4 linked regions of the Yarrowia lipolytica genome follow. The protein of the gene in region 4 purifies or fractionates together with the protein of the main gene of each other region. This does not show direct contact. Links are inferred from orthologs where the notes say so. Each region holds a gene or a part of one and is shown on either strand. Other genes may lie near its edges.

Region 1 (4,869 bases), about 590 kb from region 4:
TTCAATCGTCCAGCTGCTGACCACGTTTGAAAAGCATTTCGGAAGCCCAACTTCGGCGGTTGTACGTCATCTCAGTGGAGCTCAACGAGTTCTCAGAGAACGCCAGCTCAAACGGGTCTACGATGGAGGCGAAATCTTTGCGCTCAACAAAAACGACCGTGTTCTGATGGAAGCGTTCCTCTACAACTACTCTGTGGCCATTCTCTTTTGCAAGAAAAGCGATCTGGTTTACCTGAGTCCTCCCTCGGTGTTTGACGAGTTCAGACCGTACCTTCAGGTGGCTCTTTACGAGACCCAAGTGTACTGGTCCAACAATCCCATTCTCGGAGCTGGGTTCATTGTGTTTGAAATGTGTGCGAAGATCAGCTGGATCGCCCGCAAGGAAGTACTCACAATCGAGGACTCGCAGAATATCAAGTCGTACATCCGAGCCCTCGAAATATGGTCCGTCCCAGACATTCAAAAGACACACATGACCGATGAGCTCGAGTACCACAGCTTCATGCAGCACATGTACGCCTCCCGGGTGATGCGACAGGCCGTCATTCTGCTAGCCAAGAAACTGCTCAACCCAGACCTCCAGGAAACATCAGAGGAGGTTGTAGGACACGTGACCGCGGCCGTTGAGGAGCTTAAGTCCATCGAGCTCGGCTCCTACGTGTCCTGTATCATTGGCTGGGCCATGGCCATCGCCGGATGTGCCGCCACGGAAAAAACACACCGAGAGCTGTTCAAGTTCCGCGTCGAAAAGTTTGGTGAAAACTCCAGAGCCGCCATCTTCAGACAAGTTATGAAGCTTTATGGGCTGGCCTGGGGCCTGGGAGAGGACCAGAAGGAGCTGGGACTGGACATTATTTATGAGAGAGACGTGCTGGAGAGTATGGCTTTGTAGGATGGCCACCATGTATTGTACTTTAACTAATGTATTTATTCACTATTGTACTGACAATATCTTCAGTCTTGTTCAAATCATATCTTTCTTATATACACGTCATCTATGTCATTACTGCCATAGTGTACAAGCACACCGCCTACGCTCGTACTCGTCTAGTTAACCCAGTCAAGAACCTTGGGCTCGTTAGGATCAGGCTTGGTCTTTCGCTGCATCACCTCCTTGACCTTCTCGCTCACACCAGGCTTACCAGAGTACTTGTTAGTAAAGTGGTTGACAACCTCGGCAGGGGAAGCCTTGTAATCCGACGATCGGGTCTCGCCCTTGATGTACTGCTCAATTTCCACCTCTCGGGGCAAGCCAAAGTTCCAGGGGTACTGCTTGTAGGTATCGTTGATGACCACCTCCATCTCGTCGTTCTTGGAGCCGGGTCGCTTCTGGATAAACGACTTGACAATCTCGGGAGTCACGCCCTCGAAAGAAGAAGGCTCCCACTGGGGCTCTCGGGCAGGCTTGTCAATGAGCTTGGCGGTGACACCTTCAATGAACTCTCGAGAGTGCATAAAGTTCTCGGCGTAATTGCACTCATCGTTGAACACGGACTGAATGTCCTGGTTTCGGCCTCGTCGCAGAGCGGCAAGAGTCACCTTGACAGAGGTAGGGGATCGCTCGCCCAGGAGCTTGATGATCTTCTCACCAGCCTCACCCTCCTGCTTCAGAGCTGCCACAATGTCCTCAATGGCGTCGTACTTGAAGGTTCGGTCGATCAGAGCTCGGAACTCGCCGCCGTACTGGAACTTGAAGTTGGCAGGCACCTCCGAGTAGTCGTTGAGCAGTGCGTTGAGCTGGGAGTACAGCTCGGTGGCGTCTCGGCCCTTGGGGATGTCCAGAGAAGCGATGGCCTTCTCCAGATCGTCTAGTCGAGCGGAGGGGATGTAGTGGGTGGCGAAGCCGGCAGCCACAGCCTCGTAGCCCTTGAGTCGGGACGAGGTCAGAGCCAGGAAGGTTCCAAGCTCTCCGTCGAGTCGGGGCAGGAAAAAGGTGCCGCCAACGTCGCAGAAGAAACCAATTGAGGTCTCGGGCATGGCCGAGAGGGTGGTTTCAGTGGCCACTCGGAAGGGAAGGTGCATGGAGACACCCAGACCTCCACCCATGGTGATGCCATGGTTGAGCGCAATCACGGGCTTGGGGTAGACGGATAGCAGGAAGTCCATGGCGTATTCCGTGCAGAAGAAGTCTCTGGATTGCTCAATGCCCTGGGCGCCTGCAGCGTTCTGCTTGGCAAGAGTAGCCACGTCACCTCCGGCACAGAAAGCCTTGTTGCCGGAGCCCTTGAACAGCACGACATTGGCGGAGTCGGATTTGAGCCACTCCTTGAGGCGGGGGAAGATGGCTCGGCACATGGGGTCGTCCAGAGCGTTGAGTTTCTTGGGCCGGTTGAGGGTGATGGTCCGGGTGGTGCCGTTGTCGCTGAAGAGTACAGGCGACTCCTCGGCAGCCGCCGTGGTCTGTGACATGAATCGGGTGTTGATTTGAGCTCGCAGGGGCATTCTAGTTCGGGCTAGTGTTCGCAACATGTTGGGTGTGCTGGGTTAGCTTAGTCTTTTAAGGTCCCCATGTTGGGTGGTTAGGGTAGGCTGTATTGTGGTGGGGTAATCCAAGGCGGAGATAAACAGGTGAGATGGTTCGTGGGGGGCGCACAGGACATAAGCACAGACAAGAGACAGCGGTCAAACGCACCGAGTCGATTTCGCGTGCTGGTTTGTGGCCCCTGTCTGTGTCTGTCTATGCATCATTGTTCTTAGCACTGGCGTCTAGTGTCTAGTGTCAAGTAGCTAATGTGGCTTGGACCGTCCGTCTGAGTCTGAGTCTGATTGTGTCTACTCACATTGTGATGTGTGTCGCACTGTCGTGTACAAGGTCAAGTAGTGGTGGTTTGGAAACACCCCATTAAGTATCTCTGAGCCACCACCTCCCTCCCACAACTCGGCCGAACGTCGGAGCTCTCTTTGTGTCCCTTCCTGTACAGTGTGTGGGGTAGACAGACACACAGCAATGTCTCCAGGCACGGGGGTATTTGATTGAACCGGTTCGCGCAATGCGGGCAAAAAAGAGCCGACCACAATGCGACACGACACGTTTCCAGAGACTTCAGCACTTTTCTCCATCACAGCTCAATTCCGCCTCAAGATGGAGACGTTTGCAACACCAGGGGTTGTATGATGTACCACTCAATGTGAGCAGAATTGCTTTCAATCTTGCTCGTGGACTTGTATAAAGAAGATCAGAGCTGCTACCAGCTCTTTCCCTCGTTGCTCTTGTCCCTCATCCTCCTCTTTGATACTCACGCTCGGTCTGTGATCGGAGGAACAAATTATTTTACCTTTGAAGTTGATTGTGGAACTGCATCCAAATTTTACCCGTGCCCGAGAGATGGATGTGGGTTCGATTTCGGGTCGACTCAATTTAACGCGATATATTTCATGTGCGAAACAGACGAAAGATACGACGAACAAGTGAAAAGACATGGGAAAGACGTTGAAAAGTAACATCAAATTACTGCAACACATCAAACGACTGAATTTCTCTACCGTTGTTGAGGTCATTTGGCCATACCTCCTCAATCAATGGGCCTAAGAAGACACCAGAAATCTCTGAAAAAGGACCTTACAACTCTGAAATTTGAACTGAAAAGAACACAATTGTACAAGATACAAAATTTCCATCGTTCAGGACTTTAACCTCCTCAACACCCCCATTCAATCGCCCATTACAATCACACCTCGTATCAATCACTGCTCCACTCTTACTATACAAAACCTTGGGAGAGCACAAACCAAGAGCAATTCGACAAACCGAGAGCAATTCGACACTATAAGTACGGTAAACACAGAGTCGTTGCGCTTCCACACGGTCCCTAAAGACCCCAGATGTCTGATAGTGTCTTCAGGTCCGTCCAGCCCAACCTCACAATGTCGTCCAGAACTCGTTCAAATGAGAATATTCCAGACTGGAACCGGGAATGTGCACTTTCAAAGCCAAATTAAACTGACAGTAAGAAGCTCAGCCTGTTCGTGATGGTCCAACTACCTCATCAAGGGACCTCCATGGTGACATTCATTTATAGCCGATTGATTAGTCAGCGAGAGTTTAATACCTTTTATGGTTCTCGGCTCTCTCTCTTTTGTTCCGTGGAAAAGAGGACTTCAAAATAGGCATGCTAGGTCCGTTTTCGACGCAAAAAAAGTACATGAATATGTTCAACAGGCGACAACAATTATATGTACACGTTTAAATCCCCTCTATTCCCCCCACGCAACCCTCAAATCAACATGGTCTACAAAAGCATGAATAGCTCGATACCCCAACTCTAATAATAAATTAAGGTCTGATACTCCTTGAATGTCATGTCATCGATTATTTGCCCTTGTAGATAGACGCGTGATTTACCCAGACTCGACTCGACGCTGGACAAGAACCCGACGAAGATGAGCACCGAGACACAAAACGAGGTGCGTTCGCGCCACGTGACCACCGCCAATGAGCAGCACCCGAAAATCCATTCTGCCGGCCCCGTTTCCGAGGCGGACTTCTTTTGGACCTACCAGGAGGAGCCCCATAGATCTCGACGGATGGAGATCATCAAGGCGCACCCTGAGGTGACCAAGCTGACTGGACACGAGCCCCTGACCAAGTGGGTGGTTCTTGGAGTGGTTTCTCTGCAGTTTACATGTGCCTACCTGCTTCGAAACAGTCCCATTTTGAGCTGGCCGTTTCTGATCACAGCTTACGTGATTGGAGCCGTGTGCATCCAGAACCTGTTTCTGGCGATCCACGAGCTGTCCCACAACCTGGGTTTCAAGAAGCCGATCCACAACAAGCTGTTTTCCATTTTTGCAAACGCCCCTATCGGAATCCCCTACAGCGCCGGCTTTGGACCCTACCATCTGCTACATCACAAACATCTGGGCGACTTC
Region 2 (4,443 bases), on a different chromosome or scaffold from region 4:
GGGGGTAGCTACTTGCTTGCACACTCTCAAGGTTCATGCAGGGAGGTTGACAGTTGACGATGATGTGCATGCAAATGGTGCTTGGTGAAAAGAGAAATGCAAAAGAGTGCGCGGAGTGAAAGATCTGCTTAGTAATAAACCAGACCAGAGACGTGATCACGTGACTTCCCCTATGCTTTTTCCTCATGTCGTGTTCGAACTACCGTGTTTTTTCTTTGGTTTTCGTTGTACTTGGGGACTATGTTTTGATTAGGTTGGATCTGACGAAAAGAACCATCGTGATCTAGAAGACGCGGTTTGGGGATTTTCGGTTTGAAAATTGAACTGAGTAGTCATGTGGGCTTCACAAATGTTTTTTAAAATTTTCCAGACAAATCGGACTCTTCTAGGGCAAGTTGTATGCTGTTGTAATGGCTTAGCCGAAAGCTGCGTTGTCTTGTGGGGTGGGTGGATCAAAGGTCGTTTTAGTCTGACGTTACGACGGAGCTTAATTTTTTCAGAGCCGCACAAAAAAAAAAAAAAAAAAAAAAAAAGCAAAAAACAGCAAAAAAAAAGCAAGGCGATGACAAGAATCGTGGAAAAACACAAACTGTGGTTGGACTAGTAGAGAAAAGCGAGGCAGGTGGTTTCAAAAACACGTCGTATGATTTTTTATTGGTGTTACACCCTTGTTTGTTAGTTGCGACAAACTTATGTTTAATTACTTGACATTTGGAGATTTAGTACTTGAGTCTAGTTAACATTTTAGTTGGGAGTCTACAGTAGTTTACACTTTTGTTGGATTGACATACGACAAACCTGTAACTTGACATCGCCTCGTAGACGACTATCTGACGGTGCCACCAGTGTGGAACTTTGTCGCTTGCGTTCAAACATTTCATTTTTTAACCTCGGTCAGACTATATACATTACCAAAACTTGGATAGGAATCCCATGATGCCCTTGGCCTCGGCTCCAGGGGCAGCCTTGTACTCGTTGGCCAGTGAGCCGAGAGCTTCGGAAACGGAGCCAAAGTGTCGTCGGGGCACTCGGTTGAACCGTCGGGCGTTCTTTCCGTTGGTTCGAGTCTTCTGGCCCTTGACGGGCATACCCATGACGTGTCGTCGACCGACGTACGAGCCGGTCTTTCGCTTTCGCTCAATGTCGGCGTTGATCTTCTTGGCCAGGTCGGACTCGATGGTCACATTGGTTGACAGCTCCTTGACAATTGCCATGATGTCGCCCTGGGTGAGCTCGCCCATTCGCATGCCAGGATACAGGCCAATCTTGGCACATAGCCGCTTGGCCTGGAACGGACCCACGCCGAACACTTGCTGAGACAGTCCGTACTGAGTTAGTATGTCACGAGGCAGGGGAGAATAGAGCAAAACTGAAGAAAGCAGGTGGAATCCGCCACTCGGGAAGGATGGTGGGTGTCGACATGTAAGGTGTAAGATCTGATGCTTTTGGTTGGAAAAATCAGTGTTCATCGGTCTTAACCTGCGCTGAATACCAGATCTTAGATGTAGATAGGCCGTCTATCCACTCTTTTTCGTCCATGTACGTATCCTGGGTACACGTTATTTGTTGGTTGATGGTATCACTCTCTTTTGGGCCAAAAGTCTCGAAAACAAGACTAAACGACAGTTTGAGTCTCGGAACACCTTGTAAACCGTCCTCAATTGTCAATACTGCCGTTTGCACAAGCCCGTGTCACGTACATGTCGGATGTGTGACGTTCATATCATCACACCAGTTCTTCTCTCTCACCTACTTGCGAAAGCTGAAAGTCGGTAAATCACTTGTCGCCGCCGAAACCCCATCATTAGTCACTCTCCCGTCCTTCTCCCATCCGCCTAAGCTCTTATCAGCTCAACATGTCCACATGACAAAATCTCACAGTTTGATCCATCGCGTTCTCGGTCATTTGTGGCTCCATCTTTTCCGAACAAGTCATCACCCGCTCCATGTCACCCGTGAAATACTCACAGAAACCTTCCAGGTGTTCTGGAACCGCTTTCCCATAATATGAACCACCATTTTTGCTGTATGTGTGTTTGGTGATGTGTGTGAAATTTGCGCTTAGTCAGGACCTCCCACAAGAACAAACCCTATCCCAGACTTTTGATATAGTACAGGTTCTGCATCCGCCCTAACCCTACCCTAACCCTGAGATGTAGGAAGTGGGGAGGGAAATACCGCCGTTTGAACGCGGTTTTTGTGTTCATCAGAACGCTCAACACACGTGCTCTCTGGTCACTCTGCCGGGAAGCGGTATTGCGGTTTTTAAAAAACAGCACTCTCATTGGCCAACAACGATAAGGTTGCACATATCGAAATAAGGTTTTATGCTAACTCCGTGATGACTAAGCTCGTTAGCGCCACGGGGGCGGATAATGCCTGGTCCCTAGTCTAGTGATATCGACCTGCGACCGAGTTATCAAACATTCTGAAGGCTCTTTGTGTGCCGGTTTTGTGACTCCGTTTAATTTTCGTTAAAGTTCGCTCACGTGACTCGCCACTGCAGCAACCCTACATATTCGATCCCGCACACATGTACTATCCGCCATACACAACCATGAAGAAGGAGGACTATTTGCCCAGTGAGTATTGATGGAGAGCCGGGTTAGGGAATTGAGGCGAGGGGAGGGTGTTTGAGGGGTTAGGGTGACAAGCGATTTGGAACGACAACTGAGACGACAGCTGAAACGACAGCTGAGATGAGTCCTGAGATACCCATGTTTGCGCCGATTGGTGGGTGAAAGTGATGGAGTGGAGCGGTTGGTTGGACTTGTCTATGACGTGTTGGTTCCAAATTTTGAGTGGTCAATTTAGTTGTTTTCAAGGATATTCTCTGAGGCAGTGGAGGCGGCGTGGCGGAGGTTCATATAGTATTCGGTGTTGATTCAATCAGTGTTGACTTTACATTGGTGCTGGTTGAATCGGCGCTGCCTACAGTGGTCCTCTACAAACCATGGCCAAAGACGCAACTGAGACCGTCGATACGTTACTGCACTTTCTACATCTCATTGATACCAGTTTTTAGAACTCCTTACCTGCTTGCTCTACTCCGTTGGATCTACCTCCAACAACCCTGTCACATGACACCTACCCCCAACTCCCCGGACTGCAGCCACTTCCGTTCTAACACAGACCTCGTCGATATCGAGTCTCCGCTCTCGGACGAAGAGCTCTACGTTCTTTCTCAACAGTACAACAACGAGGGCGACTTTGTCTCGGTGCAGACCCGCTTCAACTATGCCTGGGGTCTGATCAAGTCTCGAAAGGTCGAGGACCAGCAGCTGGGAGTGCAGATCCTGGCCCAGGTGTACAAGGACACGCCCTCTCGACGTCGAGAGTGCCTCTACTACCTTGCCATCGGCTCCTACAAGCTTGGCGAATACACAGATGCTCGGAAATACTGCGACCTGTTGCTGCAGATCGAGCCCGATGACCCCCAGAGCGCCAAGCTGCGTCAGATCATCGAGGACAAGCTGGCCAAGGAGGGCATGATTGGAATTGCTATTGTGGGAGGAGTCATTGCGGTGGGAGCTGCTGTTCTGGGCGCCGTGTTGAGCCAGAAAAAACGGTGAGATGGACCGTGAGTGTGACAAATCATTTTTTTCACAGAAAGTGGGTCACATGTTACGCTCACGTAAAGCACTGATGATCACAATGCTCCGTGCTAAAATATGTACAGAACGCTACAGCCCACTCACGTGATGGTAATATATGAGTTATAGATAGACCAGCTACTTGTAGCCATCGTTGAGTGGAAGGGACTTGAAGAGGTGAACGTGCAAGTCTACGAGGCAGTGCCGGAGCAATGGAAAGCACGCACGCAACATTCGGCTCCAGTAGGTCGATGTAGAGATGACACTGAGGTCATGGAATGAAACATTGTCTTCGAGAGAAGAAAAAGCGGAAGTCAGACACTTGGAGTCTCCGTTCAGGTTGACGATATGGAATCCTAGGCTGTGGTGGAGGCATCTGATGATGACCAGACTGTCGTTCATCGCCCCTGATCCAGAAGAACCAAATCCCCAGACAGTCAACCATCAAATGGCGGATGTTGAGGTATCTTGGTCCGAGTCATGACTGAAGCTAGCTATTATCTGAGCCAGGAACTTTTCAACAGCTGGATCAGTATAGAATACCAGTAGATGGCGATGAGAGTGATGCCGTATGATAGAAGGGTGACAGTCGCCGGCACTAACTAGGAAAGACTTCAGGATCCGAGAATATGTATAGATGAGCAGTACTCAGGTTGAACTTTGGTCTTGTTGAATCCAACGACAATTTGTGGGATTATTGACAAGATGATTAAGAAAAGAGGTCCTTCAACAGGGACTCAACAGTGTTTACTGGCCTTGTGGAGATGGGACGTCATCAGGACAAGAGTAGTTGAACCGGATGTATTGTATGTACTGTACATACTGCACTTACTGTAGCAATGGCAGTAAA
Region 3 (4,192 bases), about 880 kb from region 4:
CCACGGTAGTTGCTGACGTGACCAACATAAACCATAAGCATGGAGAGAGGAGAGAGGTGGAAGCCGATACTGCAGAGGAGGAGAAGAAGGAGCCCACGGAGCCCACACAGACTACAGAGAAGGAAGCCCCCGAGAAGGAGTCAACCTCAGAGAAGGAAACAACAAAGAAGGAACCAACAGACAAGGAGCCAACCGAGCCAACGGCACAAAATGGAACCACAACCGAAACCGAAGAAGATAGAGAGGCAAAACGACTAAAGACGGAGTAAAGGGTTGCACTTAGCGACACTCATTAGCACAGCATGGATTATTTATCATAACAGGTACCAGGTGGCAAGTGGCTGGAGGTCACGGGCATCGACGGAATTGGGTGGTAATTGTAGCAGGGAGATCAGGTCAGTGTAGGTGAGTAGTGGTTGTAGCTCGACATCCCATACACCTTTCTCCATGACGTTGAAGTATGGCTCTCGACAGTACTTGTATATCATAGAGAGTGTGGGGGCCATGTCTCACCCATATGTAGCATGCTTGATAGGGGAACTGTACAAGTACATATCCAGACTTGTCTTCATACACGAAGATGGGAATTCATACCGTGATTGCTGCGTTGCGAAGCCATGTACAAACATTCGTACTGGTACCAGTTTTGGACAAATCTGGCTTCCTATCTAGCACAGTACGATACAACACCTAGGTGCCTTCGTCTGGCCTAAAGATATAATGGGCTACACACGCTTGCGTTTGCTTGTTACTCATTTACTATATACATTACCCGAAAAGAGCCTTGAAAGCGGTCTGCTTAGCCTTGTCTTCAGGTCGGTTCCACTCCTCGGGGAACTTGGCCAGTCGGTATCGGTCTCGCTTGGCGATGCGCTCCGCCTTGTTTCGGGCGTGTCGGGTGTCCAGAGGCACGTCCTCGAACGAGTCACCTTGCTCGGCCTCGGTCTTGAGCTTGAGAATCTGAGTCAGCAGGTAGTGCTTGTTTTCGGGGGCAGAGGGGTGTCGCTTGCTGGCAAACTTGCACTGGCCGGTCAGAGCGTCGTAGTTCTGTCCAGACAGCAGCTTGAACTTGTGCAGGCCCTTGTCGGAGAGACCCAGGTTGGCAGGGTCAAAGTAGCAGACCACCTTGGCCTCTTCGTCGGCCTCCTCTCCGGTGTACGAGGTGTACTTGAAGGTCAGGGGAGAAGCCTTCTTGTCAGCCTCCTTGACATCAAAGGGCACATGATAATCGACGAGTCGGGGGAGCACGTAGGCAGACATTCGCTGGAGGTGTCGCATCTTTCGCACCTTCTCCACCTGCATGTGTCCAGCAGTGGGGATATCGTCGTACATGAACTCGTTAACGTGATCAGCATCCAAAAGATCGTCGTCCTCCTCATTCTTCTCAACGACGCTATGCTTGCCGTGGTAGGCGGATCGGATTACGCCAGCGTCGGCTCCAGCAACTCGACCAGCTCGAACCAGCTGTCGCAGTTCCTCCTCGCTCTGGGAGTAGGCCGATCCGAGCTTGAACTGTCGGTTGTGAAGACGCGTGACCACCTCATGGAACTCGAGGCCGGTCCAGTTTCTGGGGTCTAGTTCCTCGTCGCTGAATCGCTCGGGATCCAGGTTCTGCCGGGTCTTGAAGCCCAGCTCCTCAATGGTATCCAGAGCCTCCTTCGTCTTGGCGTCGAGCGTGTACTTGGCCTCAAACTGGAGCTCCTCGACTCGGTTGGTCCGGGGAAGCAGAGAGGCGTCTGCAGAGGGGATCTCGGAGGGCTCAGCAAACGGAGTGGCTGACTCAATGCGCTTGTCGGTTCGGAACGAGGGCTTGGACTGATCCGAGGGAGGAACGTCGGTCGAATCGGACATGAAACGAACATGGGTCACGGCGGAGGCCCGGCCTACAACCGTGGCTCGTGCAAACGCTCCCTGGAGCACCCTGCTTTGGTTTGCCAGTCTGAGCATGTTGTGTGATGATTATGAAAATGTTCAGTGGTGAGAAGTTAAAAAATGCAGTGAAAATGGAGGAGAAGCGGGAGGGTTTCCAGAAATGGCTGTAAGAAGGCTAGAAAGATGAAGAAAAGAGGAATCAATAGCCCATGGTTGGAAAAGTAAATCTAAGGTGTTTTATTCGCAAAAAATGACACCATATAAAGATCTTGTGTCAACTAGGAAAAACCCTACCCTGATAACTAAGCAAAACCTTCTTCATACTATAGAGCTGGACGACAATGGGAATTTGAGGAGGTTGAAGAAGAGATAGATGGGTGAAATTTAGTCGAAATATTTTCGCTGTGGCAATATATATTCTGTCAATTTTTCAAGGCTGCAGTCCTCAAACTCCCCATTTTACTGATACCCATATTCTCTCTCCGAAAAGCTAAAAAAAGTCGAGTGACCGAAATTTCACCTCAAATTTCACACACTTTGAGGCTGCAAGGATTGTATTTGGAGATATAAAGAGGTATGTGATAAATGATGGAATGGGAGCATAAATGACAAAATGAAAAAAGTAAATATATACAAAAAGACAAGCTACTTCACCTACAGCCTTTATTTCTGCGAATTTACCGCTCCTTGGCCCCCGCTCCAACCCCCCCAGGTTCCACCGGTACCACCTCTCCTACACCCAACTCAAACTAACTTTTCACTCTCACATCACCATCTACACACACCACCATGCTGAGAACGACTTCAGGACTAGCTCGGTTCTCCGCCCGTCGCGGATACGCCTCGGCGTCGCCCGCCAAGATCCTGGTGGGTCTGAACGTGCGAGCAGACCGATTTGACGGCGACCAGAAGGCCCTTGCCCAGGAGCTGGCCGTCAACTCCGATCTGGGTGAGGAGGACACAGACGCTATTGCTGCCAAGTACACGGAGCGAATCAAGGCCAACGCCGTAAAGCCCATTGCTCCCGAGACCGCCGAGGGCCATGCTCGACAGTGGATTGCTCTGTTGGACGACATCAAGGCCAAGAGCATGTCGACCGAAAAGTTTGAGGGTAAGGACGCTCTGGACATGCAAAAGTTCCGAGAGACGCTGGACAAGTACCGACAGGAGAGCACTGTTTCCGGCTTCTTCAGCGACGTTTCCGCCAACAAGGTCGACCCCATGGCGCTCATCGACCCCACTTCTGAGTCGCAGTTTGAGCAGGTCATCACCGGCAAGAACGGTAAGAAGGCTCTGTTTGTGCCCACCGAGGAGCAGGTGGCCGAGGCTGAGGCTCTCAAGACTGCGCCCATCCCCAACAAGGTCGACGGCGAGTTCGAGGCCCATCTGATCAATATGATCATGAAGCATGGCCGAAAGAACGCTGCCCGACGGCACTTTTACCAGGCTATGGAGCTCGCTCAGGTCATGATCAAGGCCGACCCCATTCCTCTGCTCAAGCAGGTCTTTGATGACGTTGCCCCCGTCTGTGTCATCAAGTCGACCCCCGTTGGTGCTCGAAAGGTCCAGTACCCCGTTCCCATCACCGAGCGACAGCGACGACGAATAGTGTGGAAGTGGTCCGTCGACAACGCCGAGAAGCGGCCCAACCGATCATTCTCGGTCCGACTCGGAGAGGAGATAGCATCCGTCATTAAGTCCAAGGGAGCGTCGCTCATGGAGAAGACCCTGGTCATCCACAACCTCGCCGTGGCCAACCGAGTCCATGCTGACCCCAGCCGACCCCGAAAGTAGAGTATTGTATATAGTTAAGGAGAGAACAGATCCCGATATCGAGGAGCTTACTCCGAGAGAATGGGCGTAAGAATGAAACACGAGATCCGTGCATGAGAGCTTGAACAGTATAATAGTATGGTTTATACGCTGCTCAAGATCACTACGACTCAATCTCACTGTAGATACTCAAACAGTGGTTAGATAGATCTCATTGCTTTACTGCTTTGAAGTCGCAACCAGTGGTATGTTTCTAGAGCTTCACTCTGAAAGACGTCTCCTCTGTAGACTAGATGGGGTCTACTGTAGCTTGAAGGAAGAGAGTCTCTAAAGATGTTGTAATTACGAAGTCCAAGAGTGTTTATTTTCCCTTAATGTTTGTCGCTTTTCCCTACAAGTAGCATATATGTACTTGTACTTTTCGTACCGGTACCAATCTGTACTTGTATTCGTTCAGTGATCGACCCTCTTTACCCTCCATAAATTTACATGGCTTTACTTGAGAATTATTCGCATTACTTGGCCCATCCACTACAGCAATCAAATA
Region 4 (4,529 bases):
CTTGGTTATTACTTAATCATTATGTAATGTCATATTTTTAGTTTGGTCAAGTTAAACCTTACTTAGGAAAATAATGATCTTTCAATCCTGCGCACTTCCGCCAGACACATATCTCTGTCGTAGCCTTCGGAATCTACCATTTACATCAACAGTCAAAAAAAAATTACTTGCTTCTGAGGGCAAAATGGACGAGACCGGGTTCGAACCGGTGACCTCAAGCATGCAAAGCCCACGCGCTACCACTGTGCTACACGCCCAACGAGTGTAGAGCAAGGTGTGGTGAATACATCTAAGCTCGAGAATGGTGTTTCGAAGGGGCGAAAACGGGGAAATTAAGCAGAATTTCGTCCATATTAAAGAATATTCCTATTTCATGGATTCATTAGTATCTCGTGTATAGATTTTCCGTCTCGAAATAGTAGCATTTGGTGGTTCTACTGTGGCTACTTGTAGTGATGCAGCAGGTGTCTGAGAGAACTAATCAAAAAATGTAGGGATTCGATGTACCTAAGTTGATCATTTCCTTATACCTTTTTATCAGAGTCATACTCAGCTGTTTTTTCTGATTATACTGCCTTTTAGACCTGGTTATTGCGTACCTCATGACCTCTAGAACTTGCTAAGGTAGATTATTGTAGTCATGTTTGAAATAGTTCAGTTCATAACTTCTATTAAGCTGCTAGAAAGTGCGGGACTTCAAAATGGCATTTTATTCATATCGGTACAACTTAGTCTCATGTCTCGTCGGCTCTTGATAAAAATTCGCCAAGTAATACCGCTACTTGTAGTACCGTGTGTGCAGGCACACTGTGGTGTACCAGTAGCAGCGATAGCAAAACGCGGGTTAGAGGACATACTGTACAAGTATATACCAGTACAAGTAGAAGCAGACGTTGTTGTATATCACCTTTGTCTGGAAAACAGATCTTTGAGTGGCTTTGGATCAAGAAGGTATCTTGACTGACTACTCCGCCATTAAGTACACAGTATTTACTTGTACTTGTACTGCTCTTTTGCTCAGTCACGTTTTCACGTAAGAGAGTTGAAGTTTGCTTAAACACTCTCGCTCTACAATCTGACTACGGTCCACTCCTTCTTTTTAATCGAGGGCACTTCATAGGCTATATACAAGTTTTAATCCGACTTGGCGAAGTAGGTCTCGTTCAGGTTAACGAGCTTCTTGCCTCGGATCTGTGCAATGGAGTCGGGGATGACCTGCTCCTGGGTGAGCGCCTCAAAGGCGGCCTTGGCCACGTTCAGGGGATTTCGCGAGCCGTAGACGTTACAGGTCATATCAGTGATACCCACCATGCTGCACATCTGCGACACAATGGGGTTGACTCGCAGACCGTGACCAGCAGGAGCAGACCGCATGGTCAGATGCACGGCGTGGAATTTCTTGTACACCTCGCCGTAGATAGTTCGGTTCTGGTATCGGGGCACCATTTTCATAGATCGAGTTGCCTTCCACATGGCCTTTTCGAGAGCCACAGGGAAAGACAGAGGATCTTTACCCTCGCCCAATCCAAGCATTCCCTTGCCGTCTCCAGTTGCCACAAGCACGCAGAACTGCATCTTCTTTCCCTTTCCGGTCTGACTCTTGACAATTCTGTTTAGCAGGAGTCTGGTGTTTCGAGTCATTCTGTCGTGAAACTGGGGCTCGATGTTCTCGGTGAACTTTGTGTCCACAATAGAATCGGTCTCGTCACCGGTCTCTAGCGAGCCCAGAGGGTATGCCGAGCTGGTTCCCAGCACGTGCTCGGTGGGCACTGGCTGTCGTGGCTGCGAAAAGTTGGTCCACTTGTTAGTAGCGTGATCGTAGAAGGGATCGTGCTCGGTGAAGTCGTCAAAGTAGCCGGGCGACATTCGCGACAGGGGCGACTTGGCGGCCCACTCTTCAGGCTTGATGGCAGCCTCGGCCTTGAGAATCGACTCGACCGTCTCGGCGTCGTAGTACTGCGACAGGAAGTTGAGGTGCTTGAGCCGCTCTTCATGGGCGAGTGCCGCGGTGTTGGCGTAGCCTCGGGTCGCCATACAACCCACACGGGTCTGTTTCACCAGTTGTCGGAGCATTTTCGACTGTAGTTGTGTGAGCTGGTTTGTGATCTGGTTTGTGCAAAATCACACAAATGCGAGGTAATTTTCACCCGCTGGTTCGACTCCGCCCAAAGTTGAATTAAAGGCTACATTCTGAATGGTTGTCAGTTCAACTTCCACCAAAGTCAACTCAATATCAATTAAAAACTTTAATCAAAAATTTGTGCATATCGCATATTCAATTTCGAAATCACCCACACACCCACACACCAACCATCATGATCGCCGACCTGCCCGAGGAAAACACGACCCTGTGGTCTATCAAGCTCCCCAAGGGCGTCGAAATGGCCGACCTCGCATCACAGCCGCTGGAAATCGACGGTGAGGTCACCCTCGGAAAAAAGACATACATTCTGCAGACCATGGAGGGAGGACACAATGTGTTTGTCTTCGGCAAGAAGACCGACGCGGACTACCTTGGAGCCACCCAACAGACCGTTTCCGAGCAGCTGCAGCTCGTCGAGAAGGTGTCTCTGCCTCCTGTCGACCTCGAACAGGTCTGTGTGCCCAAACCCATTGTTGGTAAGGTGGACGGTCTGCATCAGAGATGGTTCCCTACTGGCTACGGACCCGAGGACTACGGACTGGATTCTGCCATGCCTGTTTCGTCTGCTAGCCAGACCAAGAAGACTGCATCTAAATCTACAAGTACCAAAAAGCGATCCCAGGAGGATGTGACGACCGAGGAGCCTTCTGCAAAGAAGCAGAAGAAGGAAAAGAAGGACAAGAAGGACAAGAAGGACAAGAAGGAGAAAAAGGAAAAGAAAGACAAGAAGGAAAAGAAGTCCAAGGAGTAAGCAAAAGGAATAGGAAGGATCTAGAATCCACGGGCATGGAGATTGTAATTCACATAGTATCAATAGAGCATTATTTAAAATCTGAATCGGAAGATCGCGGGATGCCGAGAAAGGTCACGACTACATCACAGAAACTCAGTGCCTCTGAGGCGGGTTTGTCGTCTTCGTTCACGACTACACTCACCTGTTAACTGCTGTTGCTCACGACAACAAACACCTCCAACCTCCAGAACCTCCTCCCCCGCTCTTATTTTCCTTGTTGATTTCGAAAACATGCTCAACTAACGGATGCTCCTCCTTCTCGTCAGTGTCCTTTGTATGGAGAGTCTTCTCAAAGTACCGCAGCTGTCCGTCTTTACCCACCATGATGATGGTTTGTGTCCGAGTGCCATAGTGTTTTCCAAAAGGGTGCGTCACGTTCCAGTCCTGGCCTTCCTGGTACCCCGCAGCAGCAATGACGGGAATGAACACTGACTGGCGCAGGGCATGGTGGATCTCTTGCTCGGAGGCGCCCTTTTTGGCGCCGGGATCAAACGTGTCGTGTGAAAGAACGTCAAATAACGAGTCCACAAGTTCCTTGCGACTGCTTCCAGACTCCACGCTCTCCTTTACTACCTCATCCAGCCGCTCAATTCCCAGAGCGCACTTGGGCCAAGGATTGCAGAACAGCGAGTTGGAGATTCCAATGGTTTGGTCCTCTGGATCCCTTGCCACCCACTCATGATCGCCACCACGGTTCGAAATGATGGAGAACTGTGTCTTCCCGTTCAAATCCACCTGGCCAAAGAGGAAGGAGAAGCCACCAGCGGCCTGGAGCTTGTCCTCGGGGTATCGTCTCTTGAAGTTCTTGGTGAACTCCTCGGGCGACTCATTGGAGAGGAGGAACTCCTTGGGGAACTTTCCGCGGCTGATGTCGCCAATGGCATCCTTGTCGCGTTTCTCCTGGTAGTTGAGAATCACAGCGATCTTGCCTTGTTTGTTGCATCCGATCCAGGTGCCTTGCTCTTCCCGGGCGAGATCTAGGGGTCCAAGGACGTTGTCGTCCCAGAAGAAGGCTTCTGCGGTGGGGCGGGATAGATACTCGTCGCGGTTGGATAGGAGGATGAGGGGACTGTGTTAGCCGGAACGACGATAACAGTGGAACTGCTCGTAGTATGTCAGACAAGCTAGTATGTCAGACAATGATACCAAAGCACAGCTGCAACAGTGTTCGAGAGTCGCATATAACCAGAACACGTTTCAGGAGGACTCGACAATATACACACGCAGCAGATTAGTCTAGCCGTATCATAACCAGGTTGTGGTCACAATGTGACTTTGGCAGTGCCACAACATCCACTGGTGGGGAAAAAAAAAAAAAAAAAAAAAAAAACATTACAACAAAACAGCAACATTCCGATCAGTGTGGTGGTACCTGACCTGTAACGTATGAGCGTGGTGTGGTCGCTGTTAGTGTCACTCCAAAGCCTGAGTCTGTGTCTGTGTCTGTAACCCTTCTCCTGCTGTGTGTCTCATTCAGATACTCACTAATCAGGATGTCCTTGAGTGGCCAATAAAATACACATTGTCGTTGTGTGTGTTTGTGTGTGGTAACTGTTATTTGTGTCTGTGTGGTTTTCGTGTGGATCTGTGGAC

The links.
Region 1: the proteins of YALI1_D02087g (region 4) and YALI1_D07981g purify together in Saccharomyces cerevisiae (affinity purification with mass spectrometry, with the first as the bait; 3 studies listed by BioGRID). This does not show direct contact. The link is inferred for Yarrowia lipolytica from reciprocal best matches to the Saccharomyces cerevisiae genes MRPS5 and EHD3.
Region 2: the proteins of YALI1_D02087g (region 4) and YALI1_B08627g purify together in Saccharomyces cerevisiae (affinity purification with mass spectrometry; 3 studies listed by BioGRID, with this or other methods). This does not show direct contact. The link is inferred for Yarrowia lipolytica from reciprocal best matches to the Saccharomyces cerevisiae genes MRPS5 and SWS2.
Region 3: the proteins of YALI1_D02087g (region 4) and YALI1_D10865g purify together in Saccharomyces cerevisiae (affinity purification with mass spectrometry; 6 studies listed by BioGRID, with this or other methods). This does not show direct contact. The link is inferred for Yarrowia lipolytica from reciprocal best matches to the Saccharomyces cerevisiae genes MRPS5 and RSM7.

Annotation. Positions count from the first base shown.
Region 1 is NC_090773.1:795,635-800,503, forward strand, and holds YALI1_D07981g (mitochondrial 37S ribosomal protein mS47), read right to left. Parts: upstream 2,470-4,869; coding exon 1,048-2,469; downstream 1-1,047. Other genes in the region: YALI1_D07945g (uncharacterized protein), read left to right, coding at 1-892; YALI1_D08000g (uncharacterized protein), read left to right, coding at 4,381-4,869.
Region 2 is NC_090771.1:860,291-864,733, reverse strand, and holds YALI1_B08627g (mitochondrial 37S ribosomal protein uS13m), read right to left. Parts: upstream 2,020-4,443; coding exon 1,969-2,019; intron 1,329-1,968; coding exon 909-1,328; downstream 1-908. Other genes in the region: YALI1_B08616g (uncharacterized protein), read left to right, coding at 3,081-3,572.
Region 3 is NC_090773.1:1,083,937-1,088,128, forward strand, and holds YALI1_D10865g (mitochondrial 37S ribosomal protein uS7m), read left to right. Parts: upstream 1-2,661; coding exon 2,662-3,666; downstream 3,667-4,192. Other genes in the region: YALI1_D10829g (uncharacterized protein), read left to right, coding at 1-269; YALI1_D10858g (mitochondrial 37S ribosomal protein mS35), read right to left, coding at 769-1,947.
Region 4 is NC_090773.1:206,303-210,831, reverse strand, and holds YALI1_D02087g (mitochondrial 37S ribosomal protein uS5m), read right to left. Parts: upstream 2,074-4,529; coding exon 1,135-2,073; downstream 1-1,134. Other genes in the region: YALI1_D02085g (uncharacterized protein), read left to right, coding at 2,316-2,894; YALI1_D02063g (uncharacterized protein), read right to left, coding at 3,096-4,005, 4,422-4,459. UniProt on the Saccharomyces cerevisiae protein: Component of the mitochondrial ribosome (mitoribosome), a dedicated translation machinery responsible for the synthesis of mitochondrial genome-encoded proteins, including at least some of the essential transmembrane subunits of the mitochondrial respiratory chain.